Lepisosteus oculatus: one gene and its partner. The protein of the gene in region 2 interacts with the protein of the main gene of each other region in a biochemical or structural test. Links are inferred from orthologs where the notes say so. Each region holds a gene or a part of one and is shown on either strand. Other genes may lie near its edges.

Evidence for each region.
Region 1: of the proteins of atm (region 2) and rpa2, one has a biochemical effect on the other in vitro, tested with the Homo sapiens proteins (3 studies listed by BioGRID). The link is inferred for Lepisosteus oculatus from reciprocal best matches to the Homo sapiens genes ATM and RPA2.

What each region holds. Positions count from the first base shown.
Region 1 is NC_090706.1:4,816,056-4,823,074, forward strand, and holds the start of rpa2 (replication protein A 32 kDa subunit), read right to left. Parts: upstream 3,031-7,019; 5' UTR 2,883-3,030; coding exon 2,870-2,882; intron 1,946-2,869; coding exon 1,857-1,945; intron 1,322-1,856; coding exon 1,220-1,321; intron 536-1,219; coding exon 422-535; intron 1-421. UniProt on the Homo sapiens protein: As part of the heterotrimeric replication protein A complex (RPA/RP-A), binds and stabilizes single-stranded DNA intermediates that form during DNA replication or upon DNA stress.
Region 2 is NC_090700.1:683,001-690,659, reverse strand, and holds the start of atm (serine-protein kinase ATM), read right to left. Parts: upstream 3,012-7,659; 5' UTR 2,894-3,011; intron 2,220-2,893; 5' UTR 2,189-2,219; coding exon 2,117-2,188; intron 1,803-2,116; coding exon 1,681-1,802; intron 961-1,680; coding exon 815-960; intron 698-814; coding exon 533-697; intron 347-532; coding exon 181-346; intron 102-180; coding exon 1-101. Other genes in the region: protein NPAT, read left to right, coding at 3,860-3,896, 4,494-4,612, 4,917-4,977, 5,066-5,144, 5,749-5,789, 6,412-6,672, 6,978-7,053, 7,418-7,556.

The sequences.
Region 1 (7,019 bases), on a different chromosome or scaffold from region 2:
GTTCTCACGATTAGCTATATTGTACTTTTGTATATTTTTTTTAATTCCAGACTTAAAAGACAGAGATTCTTTTAACTCTTTGTTTTCTTTTTTTCTTTTTGTATACTCTGGATGATCTTGATGTTTTAAAAGAGAAAAAAAGAGCATTTAAGAGAAAATAAAGAGTCCATTATGGGGATTGGCGATTTGGAAGAAATAAAAAATAGTCAATACAAATGAGACAATTAAAAAATAATACAGGAATTCAAATATTCAAAAGTGCCGTCAATAACAAAAACAAAATAATCACAAAAAAAGAACAGTAGTAAGAACAGTACTACAAAACATCAGAAATTCTCACACCATATTGGATGCTAAGAATCTGCATTAGAAAATTCCATCCAGTTACATGAAAGATGTAATTCCAGGCAAAAGCACTTACATCGGTGTCCACCCACTGCCTGACGTCCAAGGGCGGGCCTGTCATATCGTCCACTTTGTACAGGATGTTGGTCGGAGCTTTCTCTGCGTTACGGACAATCCCCACTAATGTGACCTAGAAAACACCCAGATGGTGAACCTGCAGATCAAAATCAGCCCAGCGTTTCCCATCAGTGCAACACATGGTCCTTCACCCTCCACCCTCACAGCAAGCCTTACATTAAAGATTGCAATAAGTAATCTAAACCCTTGGTTTAACAGACTTCAGTTGTAATAAACTAAACCCGCTAAAGAAGAATTTCTCTGTAAAATTATAAATATCAGACTTTCCCCACATTAACAATGAAATACACGAATAAGAAAAAAAAAAAGAAAAAAAATACTACCCATCAGTCTCAACGATGCCCTGTAGGGGTAAGCCTATTGTTTATGATGGGTATTGTTTGTGCTTTGCTTGCTTTAGCGAATTTTATTGTCTATTTATGACACGATAAAAAATAGGTTATATAATACAAAAAAAGCACAAAAAGAATTTTCATTGACCGCGTTTGACTTGGAATCGTTCCAAGTCAAACCACCCCGAAAGCATATATATAGTATGCATATTTTTTTTCCCTCATATAATAGTGTGTTTTTAGGCAGAACAAAAACATCAACCAAGGGGTTACTGCACCAAAAGAAACGACACTCAAACGCAGCTTTTGCAGGGGACCTGATAACACCCTTAACGAGGAGCTTAACCCAAGGCAGGGCCTGGTGGGAAGCCACCCAGGTGAGCCGTAGCGGAACCTGCCCTTACCTGGGAGACCTCCACCTCGCCCACCTTGAAGACGTCCTCTGCCTGGGAGGAGGACAGCAGCTGGGAGACGGTGCAGGGGACGATCTGCTGTGTCCTCGCTCTCTGCGGCACGAGCAGAAAGAACAGGCGCCACATCAGTCCGACACATCGCAGCGGGCCAACCACACTGCCAATTAATTCAGTTAATTTAAACGAGTCAACTTAATTGGGAGCCCAAGTGGCTCAACCAGTAAAGGTGCTTGCTCCACACCCCTCGTCCCCCTGGTTGGCCTGCGTCACGGGTTCAAGCCGACTCCGGCCGTGACCAGGATGTCCCAAGTGGCCGTGCCCAACGGGAGAAGTGTCGCCAAGAGCAGGGGTGGGATGAGCCCCCCAGGGCCCCCCCCCCAGCACTGTGTTCGGTGGGTACAGGATGAACAGCTGGCCAGTCTCCGTTCACTTCACCAATGTGCACAGCAAGGCAAAGTGCAAATCTGCCGAGTCACAAGAACATTTCTGCTCCTGTGGCATGAGCCCCCGTCTTTGACTTCTACCTCAATGGAGATCAGACAGCGCATGCCAACGGGGCAGTGGCGGGTATGGGTTCCGTTTCTGCCTTCTTATTCCGGGTGCGCTTCCGGAGAATCGGTGTACTCACCGATTTCTTCTCTCCTTGCGAGGGGGCAGGAGATCCGAAGCCCCCGGGGGACTGTGTGTAACCCCCCGCCATGCTGGAGTCGCCATAACCTGCGACAGAGACCCGTTTACAGAGAGAAACCCAGCAAGTGGACCAGAAGGGTCCTGACGGCCTCACACTGCGGTGTCCACGCTCACCGGCCCTACCAGCTCTCCCTGGGAAACACCAGATCGTCTAAAGCCTAGACAGTGAGCAAGTGACCAGAGAGCTGTGGACCAGGAGTGCCCAACTCTGGTGCAGTCACTGCAGGGCTCCTCCCAGCTGAGCCAGATTGGGACACTTTAACAGATTGTCCCAGTTCTTACACCCATAATGAGATGTATAAAGCCTGCTGGACAGTGGGTACCGGCACCAGGACTGGACAGTCCTGAGCTGGACTGTGAGGCCCCAGTGGAAGAGCTCGTCCCTTCAAAGTATTGCAACTGAAACTAAACTTGCATCTAAACTCAATTCTGTACTGCAAATATCATTAAACGCCTAAATATTACCTTAAAGACCTTAAAAACAGTGCTGTCGTTTTACTTACTGGACGCATAAATCTTGTCAGTACTATGGGTACCTGTAATTAGATGCTGTAACGAGCTTTCAGAACAGGTCTTGTTACTACTACTGTATTTACGTACATAAGCAAGAACAGTTCTGACCCATACCTGTGACTCACATTCAACTACCAAGTTCACGGTAATAATTACATTTCTCTTTGGATTTTCAAACTTATCTCGAAGTATTTGGTTAGCAAATCGAGTGGAAACGGATAACGGTCTTCTTTCAGTGTTTTGTAGCATCCTGTATAATAAAGCTTAAGTGAAAATTAAAAGATAAACCGCTTTACATTTTTTAGGTAAATCAAACTAAATTTCAAATTCTTGCTCATCAAAACAAACCGCGGTCCAACATGCAGCTTAATCCAGAAATCAGATGTTAAAACAAGCGTCAGCGCTTGTTTTACAACGAACAAGGTTAACACCTCTTACCTTGGTTCCACATGATTAGAATATATTAAAACAATACTGAGAACAACAAAAAAAAATACTATTAGTAGCTCAAAAGTTTTGGTTATATCAGACACCTGGAGCAGAATTCTTCCTCTACGTTTTAAGCGCGCCACAACACCAGACACAAAGCTCACAGCACATGCGCCATAAACTCCCGCGAACTCCTTTGCCCAATCAGCGACGACAGCGCTCTCTGACGTCAGCCCAGGACACTATTTTGCCAACACTTGCCTTCATTTCTCACGGAAGTATGCAGGGGTACGTAGAACAGAGCGGGTAGCCATACTTACTGAGGGAAAGACGGCAGGCGAAATGAAAAGTGGTGTTCTTAGGCAAAATAATTTATTTAGCTTTTAGGCTCGATAATTGTTAGTGCATATTTCTCCAGACCAAAGTCTGGCAGGACCAACTTTAAAAAAAAAATGTTTTTCATAAGTATATTACTGGACTTCCCAGAGCTTACACTAGAGGACACTGCTTACATACATTGGACGGAAAATCCAAGAGAATCCGATACTGTGAGCTGAGTACAGGCGTAGACTGTCGGCCTGAATTATTACGATGGTAATAATTCCTTCCATTTATAGAGCGCTTTTCTGGACACTTCACTCAAGGTGTTTTCCAGGTAGTGGGGACTCCCCTCCACCAATGTGTATCCTCATCTAGATGATGCGACACCAGCCAGAGTGCACCAGTTCGCTCCCCACACACCAGCTCTCAGTGGGGAGGAGAACAGTGATGCAGTTCATAGATGGGGATTAATAGGAGGCCATGATTGGTAAGGGCCAATGGGAAATTTGGCCAGGACACTGAGGTAACACCCCTACTCTTTTCGAGAAACACTCTTTTTAATGACCACAGAGAGCCAGGACCACAGTTTTACATCTCATCTGAAAAGAAGGCACCTTTTTTACAGTATAGTGTCCCCGTCACTATACTGGGACATTAGGACCCACACAGACCGCAGGGTGAGCGCCCCCTGCTGACCCTACTTACACCTCTTCCAGCAGCAACCTTAGTTTTTTGCAGGAGGTCTCCCATCCAGGTAATTTAATCTCTTCTGCTGGAAAACCCTTCACTGACCCTCATGTATCAATGATACGTTTGCCTCTTTAGGAATATCAGTACAATAAATCTGAAGAAAAGCAAAACTAATCAGTTCTCAGTATTCACAACTGAGGTCAACGTTTTTTCAATTAAACTCAAAGTTTTTTTGAGTAAAATGTATTTAAAAGAGGTTTGTTATGCTGTTGTAGAGAACATCTACTCGAATCCAAGTATACATTTTTAACATGTTATTTCAATTTATTTGATCATCTCTTCAATCATACCGATTTTTAAACACACTTACAATGTTTCGGGAGTGTGTTTCTGTAGTACACATCTGTGCTATCTGTTTAATGTAACAATAATATGACAATAATTCATTCTGTCATTTGGTTAACTGCAGACATATTTAAAGATGTATTTTTTTCAAGAAATTTCCTTCTTCATTAGGAGTCAGAGCTTCTAATTCTCAGTTTTTCTTTCATTTTGTTGCAAATGGTGACTGGCCTTTTATGAACACTGAACTCTGGGTCTGTGTCACAGTGTTTACCAATTCCCTCAATCCTCAGTGGATTTTTGGCATCTTTGGGAAGCCTGAGGGCTGCAGAAAACATCTGGGAAACATCTGCGATTCATTACAGCTCAAGGGCTTCTGCAAATGCCATGGGAACGAGCTATTTTTAAAAATTGCATTCAGGAGAATGGAATAGTTGTTATTGAGTGTGTTTCCTTTTGGCTCAATTGGCAAGGTAAGATGAGAAAATGGCTTTCATTGCTTGTAGTGGACTTTAATTCTTCTGACTAAGCAAATTCAAGTTATCTTCTCTTGCACTTTTCATTAATTACAGGTGTGTACAATTTGGCTTGCTAAAATGAAAATTATATTTGTATATAACTATCAAAAGCTAAAGAAAAAGAGCTGTCCGTGTTTCTCATTCTTCAGAGATAGTAGCTCTTTAACGGAAAGCCAAATGTGGCCTAGAATGTGGTTTTCCTATATTTGTTAAGGAATGCTTGAAGATAGATGTTAATGCTGTACTAAACTAACCGTAGCCATTTTATCTAATCATTCTTTGAAATACAAATAGGTTTAAATATAAGATTTTGTTCTGAAAAATACAAGGTCTTAATGAATCCAAAATCATTCATCACCTATTTTTCTAGTTTTTCTCAGTTCTGTATAATGACCAAGATTTGCATTTGAGCGTTTGTGGCTGTTGCTTTAATGAACAGAGACTTTCTCATCTATAATAAGTCAGCAGTCTGTAATAACTAACCTTTCTTTAACTCAAGAACACTCCATTTGAGCGCCAACAGTGGAGGCTCTGTAACCGAAAGAAGCTTTGGAGTATTAAAATGAAAACACAGGAAATTAGGAGTCAGAAATAAAGGATGCAAAGGAGCACAGGTCACGTTTCTATAGGAAATGTGGAGATCTGCTAAAATTAGCTGAGACTGGAGGTTTGGCTTGGTATGTGAGGGAGTATAGTATGACTTTGTCCGGAGGAAATGGAAAATTAATAATGAAACGTGGACAAAAAGCTTTTCCAATCAGCTGCTTCCACTAAAGGGAGAAAGAAAGGGCCTGAGTCCGGCCACTTTTGTGTACAACTGCAGCCCTCGCACACAAAGAAGCTAAGATGCAGAGCAGTATGATCTTTAACTATTAAATGGAGTTGAGTCTTAAAATGAATTATAAGTCATTTCTATAGATATACAGCCTTGTCTAGGAGTCATCAGTACATTACTTAGTGTTTGTTTTAAGTATGTTTTACATAAAAACACAACTGAACTGTGAGCAATCAAACTGTTTCTTAATTAAGTAATTTAGAAATCATTCATCCATTTTGTAACCACTTTATCAAACCGGGGAGCTGGAGTCTATCCAGGCAAGCAAGGGGCACAAAGCAGGTTACACCCTGGGCAGGATGCCAGTCTGTCACAGGGCAGACACACACACACACACTAAGGTCAATGACATTATCAGCATGTCTTTGAGCTGTGGGAGGAAACTAAAGCACCCAGAGGAAACCCATACAAACATGCGGAGAACATATACACTCCATGCTGATAGCACCCCAGCAACTGAACCCAGGGCCCCAGCACTGCGAAACAACAATATTTCAAAATCATTTGGAACACAAATCTGAAGACCTACTAATTCCCTTAACTTAATTAATTGCTTGATTAAATTATAAATACCAATTGCTCCTCATCTTCAAGAAAGCAGGTCATGGTGACTGAGATCTCCACTCTAGAATATAAGGAAAAGAGAGGGGGAAGAGTTTTCTGGCATGAATAAATGTAAATTCACCTCCCATTTTATATGTGGGGATAGTTCCTTTAAAATCATTTCAGGTTTACTTCCCTTTCTGCTAGGCTTTTCTGTAAATGCTTTAGGAAACCTGGTTCTCACAGATCTTTTGAATTGAGCTAATCTCACTATATTGTATTCGCCTCAGCTGTGTGCTTCTGTTGGTACAACAATCTACACTCATTGGCCTACTTTCCATATCCACACGTATATTTACATGAGCAGAGTTTCTTCTGATTTACCAAGGGGGGGTAGGGGTTATGTATATATTTCACAATCACATGACCCACAACTGTCATTAACCATAATCATTTTTAAAACATTTAAACAAGTATGGCTCTCTACCCACTCCTGCCAAAACTGGCCTGGATGTAGCTTTGGCACAACATAACCAAGATTAAAAACAAGTGCAGCCATTTGGTATTGAGGTTTTGCTTTAGTGAATGATATGTGAAACCCATTAAGGGAAATACATCTCAAGGGCATACGGTCATGGGAATTATTTACAGAGTGGTATTTTCTCAGTTCTGTTTTTGAACCACAAATTATGGCCTTAAAGCCATTGGGAAGAAGTTCCAGTGCCTTGTCTTGGCAAGCCAGCAAGTTCCTCTTTCCCACACGGAGATGTATATTTTGCTGTTCTTTTAAGATGCTTTAATTAGCATTTCCTTGTGTCATGCCTGTCTGTGAGGTCAACTCATTCCTGTTTGAAAGCTTACAATAGGCTGTTTATGGCTTTTCCTTTATCAGGAGGACACGGTGGAGTAA
Region 2 (7,659 bases):
CCAGCCCGCAGACCCGTGTGCGGCAGTTCACGGCCGAGGCCCTCAGGAAGATGTTCAGAGCAGCCAGCAGGTGCTCCAGGACAGCCAGGTACTTCTCCCTCCTGCACGAGGCACAGAACACACGCTCAGACGTCACGGACCGCAGGGCAGGGCTCTCCTCGGAGCAGCGAGGTGCGGTACCTGGCGTTCAGCAGCGCTCGGGAGAAGAACTTGAAGAGCTTGTGCACCAGCCCCTCTGTCTGCAGGCAGCAGCCCCTCACCAGGGTGTGGATGATCCTGCTCACCAGCACGCGGTTGATGGCACTGGAGCTGCTGTTGTAGAAACCGCAATACACCTCCAGCAGCTCTGGACAGGAGAACACAGGGAATCAGCACTTCAACACGGCACAGCAGTTCTATTTCATTGTTAATCTTTCCAAGTACAGACTCTAATTCCACCCTGACTGCTGAGCTGAAGTCGGAATGGGGAATATATTAGTCTGGGCTCACACACTTAATGGAGTGGAGCTCAGGTGCTGGTTAAGGCACCTACCAGCCCACTGATGCTGTGTGACCTCACACCAGTACTTGCGGACAGACAGGATGTCCTTCAGCAGGATGCTGCTGTAGTCCTCTCCATAGGCACTGCAGGAGAAGGAGCTCCTGAGGACGCCCACCAGGTGAGCCAGGAGGTCCGTGCACTTCAGGCGGGGGCCTCCTGCGAAAGGCAATCGCTCCAATGTGTGAACAACGGGCAGGGAAAGGAGGCAGGAGATTAAGCAAGCGGTCAATGAGCTGCCAAAGATCTGTGTTGACTTAAAACATGGTCACTTACTTTTGTTTGCACATCTGATGAAAAATTTGAGCAAGCTGCTGACTTCCTGCATTTTTTTGTGCCTGTTTGCTTGTGTGGTGGCGGACACATTGGCCTTCCCAGTCTGCAGCGCCTCCGTTTCTCTCTCCACGTACCGGCGCAGAACCCTTCAGGGACGAGAGCCGCTGCTTTGTCAGATTCGCCTGGGCCGCAGTTAATTAAAGCATCCAATTTCTAAACCGCACGTCCAGCAGGGGCTTCTTAAACACCCCTTTCGCTGCAGATGTCACTACGCTCGGCCAGACCGCTGAAATCGCGACCCGCTCACACGACTGAGAGCCTGGTGGTAAAAACGGGGGAGCTGGGCTTTTGTTTTCTGACAAGTTCAGAATACTACACACTGGCCGTCACTCGTGGGTTTACCATTGTCTCCTGCAAGGCCAGCAGAGGCGCCATCCTGCTTGTGCTGCTCTGCTACAGAGCAGGTAAGACCCTGCAGCTGCCCTGGCAGTACAGTGCAAGAACACAGGAGCACAGCGCACTGGGGCTTCTACACGAGCCAGTGAGAGCTGCGGCTTGTGCAAGAGGCTTTACGTGCATCTTCGCCATTTTACAAGGCATTCCCCCTCAGCTACAAACAGAGCACCTCCAGGACTCCCTGTGAGCACTGTTCCAGACAGGAGCACTGCTGGGCTGCGTGTGTGTATAAACCAAATCGGCGAAAGGGTGGGTGCACAGCACAGTTAGGCTGTGTGACAGAAAATCCACAACAAGGCTTCACAACTAACACACAGGAAACATCCTCAGTGACTAATGCGACCTGGAGCAGACCGGCATGAACTCATCACACACGGTCATTCATTCGGGCTCATTTTAAGAGCACCTACCCAAAGACAGCATCCCAGGTGAGCTGTTTGGAACCCTTCGCTGCTCTTGAAGAACTGGCTCTGTCCAGGGCCTCAACTGTCTCAGGAGACACGATGAGCCGCTTAAATTTATCCGCTTCTTTCTGCAAAATAACATTGACAGGTGGACTCCTAAGAACATTCTGCTAGTGGCAACTGATTGTTTAATCTACAGCTGTTTAATACATCAAATCCACACTATTGTCAAAACACTCATTATGTCAGGGAAAATGCTTCATAGGAATGCCAAAAGTTACTCACTTAAAAACAAATGTATGAATGAAAGAAAGCTTATTACATTCTCAGACTTTTTCAGCTTCCTCATTAACCTTTGAACCTTTGAACATCAGCACTGAAGTGATCTGGTCACTCCTGAGCGACTCACGCCCCTGTCCTGCACAGAGGTGAACGCATCTACCTTCCTCTCCGTGGCCTTGTCGCTCTCCAGCCCACGGCAGCACATCAGGAGCTCATGCAGCAACAGGCTCATGTTGTCCTCAGGGTGGCGCTGCACTGGGGGCCTGCAGAGGCAGACAGGGGAATCGATGTCGAGTACTGACGCCGCACTGACAGTGCAGGAGCACAGAATCGAACTGGAGAAGCGTGTGTGGGGGGCGGGTTGCAGACACAGGCCTGTTTTGATTCATTACACCCCTTCAAAGTATGCCTTCTGATCACAAACACAAACGATTCTATACATAAATCATTCCATTAATAAGGGTTTCACATTAATGCAGTTTAAACGTTTTTGGTTTCGTTTTTTAAAGTGCCCAACCCCCCATCCCACTGAGCTGTAAGGAGCAGTCCCTGAGATCCTGCTAAGATCTACAGCGCACACGGGCGATGAGAGGACCACATTGCCGTCTGATGACCTTCCACACCAGCCGGACGGAGAACGCAGTATTACAGCAGGAGTAGCACTGCTTCAGGTGCTTCAAGTCCAGGAGTCCCCGTCTGCCTTCAGAATAGATCGGCGATGACCGTGCTAGGTGTACACGTTCAACAATCACAAGCGAGCTACACACACTTGTTTAGATCTGCACGGTATTACCAAAAACATACGATCAAGATCCAGACTTTAAAGTAAAGTAAGCTAGCTATGCAGTCTGATTAAAATTGACGTCAAATCATCTTAAACTACTAAATGATTCTCCGCATCTAAAAATCGCTGGGAACTGGGTACCTATTCACATACCTCCTTATATAGCTTTCTTTATTTCACGACAGGGCCGTGTTCTGACGTTCACTTAAACTAAATCCCAAGTACTGTCCACTATAAAGACAGCACAGCACGCACAGCAATACAAACACAAACCGCGCCTCCCCAACTTCAACTTCATTTCCGGGTCGTTGCGAAGACGGGCGGTTCCGCTAGCCAATCACGGCCCCAGTTCCTGAGATAGCTCCGCCTCCCCAGTCCCAGCGAGGCAGGGGGTCTCTGGTGCAGGAGCTGCAGACTGGAGCTTTAAACGCACTGCCACTGTATTTTTAATCCCGTTGAAAAAAATACAGAATATCATATCATTTGTCATAAATTTAATCATGACACTTACATAAAATTAAACGGTCTGGGAAGAGACCCCCATTTGAACAGTTCAAAACACAGCATGTCTCCAGACGTTTTGCTATAAGCGTAAGAATATACAATCTGTGCGTACCTTGATTTATCTCATTTAATTATTTTGTAAAATGCAGCTGTGTTATGTACCCCTGACGATGTTATGTATATAAACTCTTGTCTGTATTGTATATATTATTGTTGCAATAACATTTTTGATAAAAACATTTCCACTGACAGAATATCTGTTTGGACCTCTGATTTATTTTATGCCAGTTTCCATTGTTACGCACAATTAACGTTTTATATAATATTCTGAACCCAAGAGCGCTACTATATGTTAATACATTATCCGCCATGTAACCCTGTCTCGCGTACTGACATTGACTGACCGAACACCCGAACTACATTTCCCATGCAGCCTTTTAGGCGAATACTTCCGGGTGAAACGTGCTGAATTTCCGCGCTTTTTCTGCGGGTGGGTGTTATTGGGAGTTGTGTTCAGCTGAGCTGAGAAAAAGTATAACGGCTCAAATGTGTGCTGTTCGGTTTTCTTTCATGACTGTGCGTATGAGGGCCAGTTGAAAAGGCTTCACAACAGCCATGTTGCTACCATCTGACATTGCGAGGCTGGTTTTGGGTAAGTTGGAGGGGTCGCAGCGGGGTCTGTTGCGGGACACAGGCGTGTAGCCGGGGAGTTTGCTCTGCGGTCGCAGCTGAGAGCTGTGTTGATCACAAAGGGCCCCTGCAACACGTACTGTACCAGAGCCTGTATCTGGGGGACAAGAGCATGGTTAGCTAAAGAGCGTGTCTTTCACTGTGTAGATAACAGAAAGCACTGCATATAATATTTGATGCATGATATCGATACCACTGGGTGTAAGCTGTCTGAAACAACGGTGGTCGGAGTACTACCACCTAAAATACTAAATTACACACCAGGTACGTGTTAATGTCAAATTCCATAACGACTGTGACGAAATTATTAATACTGGGGAAAAATGTCCAGTACATCAGATGTCAGATTTTGATAGTATTCCAGTGGCGTTTATGACCTTGCCAAGATTTCAGTTGCAAGGACGTTATCAGAAATCAGTCATGTCCGAACAATTGTGCATAATTCGCTTATTGACAAAGGATGTGTATTTTTGGATGCATGCCCTGGTGAGTTGATATTGCTTTGAAATTCCAGTAAATGAAGTAAACCGAGTGCTTGTTTGTTCTGGGGTGCGCCAAGGGTATCTCCAACAGGAGCGCCTGACTGCCACTTGCCGGGCGTTCATCAGCGAGAGTCCGGACCTGAAGGAGTACGCGGAGCACAGCACCGAGGACGGAGCGATTCCTGCCTGCGTGTTTGTGAGTGCTGTCCGATCTCAGCAGAGCCCCTCGCCCCTGTACGCTGTAATGGAAAGACTTGTGGAAATTCGGCATCTTATGGCATGCACATGCAAAATTTCACTCTTTATTCTCTGCGAAAGTCTCACCGTACCTAAAGCTCTCATTAGCTGTCTGAATGAAATAGCTTGCGTTTCATGTGCTAGATTTGTTTTCATGAAAACAGCATACACAGTGTGTTAGACATCTCTAATCTGAGCAGTGTGCTCAGATTTATCCTATGTTTCCCTACGTTCTGTTTTATCATGTTGTTTTGTCTTTGCAGTCTTTGTTTGGGAAAAACCTGAACACCATTCTGAATGAATACGTTGCCATTAAAGCAAAAGGCAAGTACTGGAGGTTTTAAAATAACTTCAGACTCAGAGCTTCATATGTTCATGTTTTGTTAATATACAACTGTTTTTTTTTGTCAAGAATGCAGCCAGGAGTCACAGGTACCTGCTATGATGACGTCGCTCTGGAGGAAATTAGATTTCACTCTGAATCAGATCAGGTAAAAGGAAACTTTAACTGGATTTCTGGGGGTGGGGGTAAATGGAGCCTCTTGTTTCAGGATATGCAACCATAAGAACTTGCTCCCGGAGACTGTCGCAGCAGCGGTGTTTTTACCAGAGCTGCAGAATGGAAGAAAATCTTGTAGATAAACTGTCATGAGCTCCTGACATCATGCAAACAATTTCTTGTGTCACCTGTGTTACGAAAAAACTACTATGGCTCAGGAACCAGTCCAGGGTAGAGTAACCATATACATTGCTGGACCAGCGTACACCCTACACAGACAGACTAGAACTGAAGCTTTGTAGGCTTCAACAGAAAGAGGCATTGACAAACCCATCCCAGTGGAATTCTTCTGAACAGAGTGACGCATTAACCAGAGGACGTAGGTTGAAACTACATTTAAAACTAGGAACCGGGGAGTCTGTCATAAGTATCCCATTTCTAAAGAAATGAAATATTATAATTTGACACATTCCAAATTTTGCAGGACTGTCAGATATTATCTTGGCATGAGAATAGTGAAATGTAAAATGAATAAAGATGTTTTTGAGCAAAACTGTTTTTCAGGATGGCTTAATGATGTCTATTGCTCTCACTAGGTGTATGCAGAACTCTCCAAGCATTTACAACAACCAAAGATGTAAGCTGGCCTTTTCATTTTTATTATTTAAATACAGTTTATTTTTTCTGTCCGGTATCTTTTCACTGCATTTTAGATTTTAGGAAACCACAGGTCTTTCATACCATAATGAGTCTGTCAAATGGATTTCTCAGACTTGTAGGAGAAAAGGGGAAATTGAAGGTTTAGAAAAAAGATAACTGATTTTTTCCTCTGCATGTTTATGATAACCCTCTTATAAATGTCTCCTTCCATGTCGGTCTCAGACATTCTGGAAAGTTCTGTCTTGCATTCGCAGATGTTCCCATATTGAAAAGAAAAGCATATTGTATTGTTTTCTTAGCTAAAATTGACCATCGTTTCATAATGAATCAGATCCTGCACAGTCTGTTGGCATTGTAACTATTCATTGCTTCTGGCTCTTTCAATATTAAAAAAAAAAAAGATTTGATGATTTTTTAATCTCAAACATTCTTGACTTTGAATTTTTATTCCCCTCTGCCTTTTGGCACATTTACAGTATCAGCCTGTACTTTCAGATCTTTGTTCTCGGGTGTCTGGCACCGCTTCTCTCTTTGCGTGCGTGTCCGTGTGCTCATCGGAGCTCTCACCCCTGCTGTGTGCCCGTGTGCCCATGTTGCAGTTCGCACCCGGAATGGGATCCTGAACGTGCGGCATCAGAGAGCTCAGCCCTCCCCGCCGGCTCCGGGCAGCTCCGGGCTGCTGTCTGTGACTCCCTCTCCCGGCCAGCACAGCCCCAGCCCCAGCCCCGTGTGCGTGCCTCAGGCCATGCTGGGGTGCTCCACTCCCATCTGCTACAGCTCCCTGCACGCGAGACCCTCCCCCCTGTGCGTCAGCCAGTCTCAGGTCCAGGAGCGAAGCAGGGCTGTGCTCAACGTGAGCAGTAAGTGGAACACCGAGGGGTCGTGGTGAACATGTAGTTAAAGGTTTTGTTTTGTGTTATACATGTGGTTTTTAGTTTTTTGTGTGTTAGTCCTGTGGCCTTTGTTCTACAAAAACATCTTGACCTGTTAAATAGTACTTGTCAATACATTAGTCTCTCATAATGACAGATCATCAGTGTGTCCATTTAAGGAAAAATCCTTGCCCAGATTCTGAGTACAGTAGAGGAAAGCTTGTATGGAAAGGCTGCCTGAGGACTGCAGATTACTGGTTCCTTAAGAGCCCCTTTTGTTTTGTTTCCTGTAGGAGATTCCCCTCTGCAGGTTGTTGTTCCAGATCGCAGATTTAGCCCAGGACAGTTGTCTCCGGGCCGCAGGAAATGGTGAGGAGACCGCTGAGAAGGTGTGGCCTTCCTAAAGTCAACGTTTTTTCCCAGAGGATTCTCTGCTTTGCTGGTTTGTGTTGCTTCAGCACCTGTGTCATTTCTGAATCCTTCCAGCTGGAAAACTCTGCAGTGTTGTATGCAAAGAATACATGTCTGCTGAGAGCCATGTCTGTGTCTCTTTCCCTGTGTTTGTCTGCTTGTTCCTGCTAGACAAGCGTGGAATCTGCAGCTCAGGCTGAGGTGGCAGCTGGCCCAGGCGTAGTGGTCTCTCCGTGCCTGGCAGCCTGCGTGCTGTTAGTGTATGAGCTGTGTGGAAAGGATACAGGAAGGCCTGATCCTCCTGTGCTGTGCGGTGTTTCAGTGACTCCCCCAGGAGGAGAGGTGGGCTGCTGGCTGGACAGGGCGGAGCACCAAGGACCCCCCAGATATCTACTGTCATTGTGGAGACTGAGGAATTCCAAAACGAAGGAGAGCAGGAGCCCGTCTCGGAGAGCTTTCCCGTGAGTCCCACCTCCTTCCACATTGGAATCGGATTCTCAAAGTCAGGCGGATCTCTAGCATCTGTTTCTCTTCTGTTCCAATGATTTATTCCATCCTTGTTTC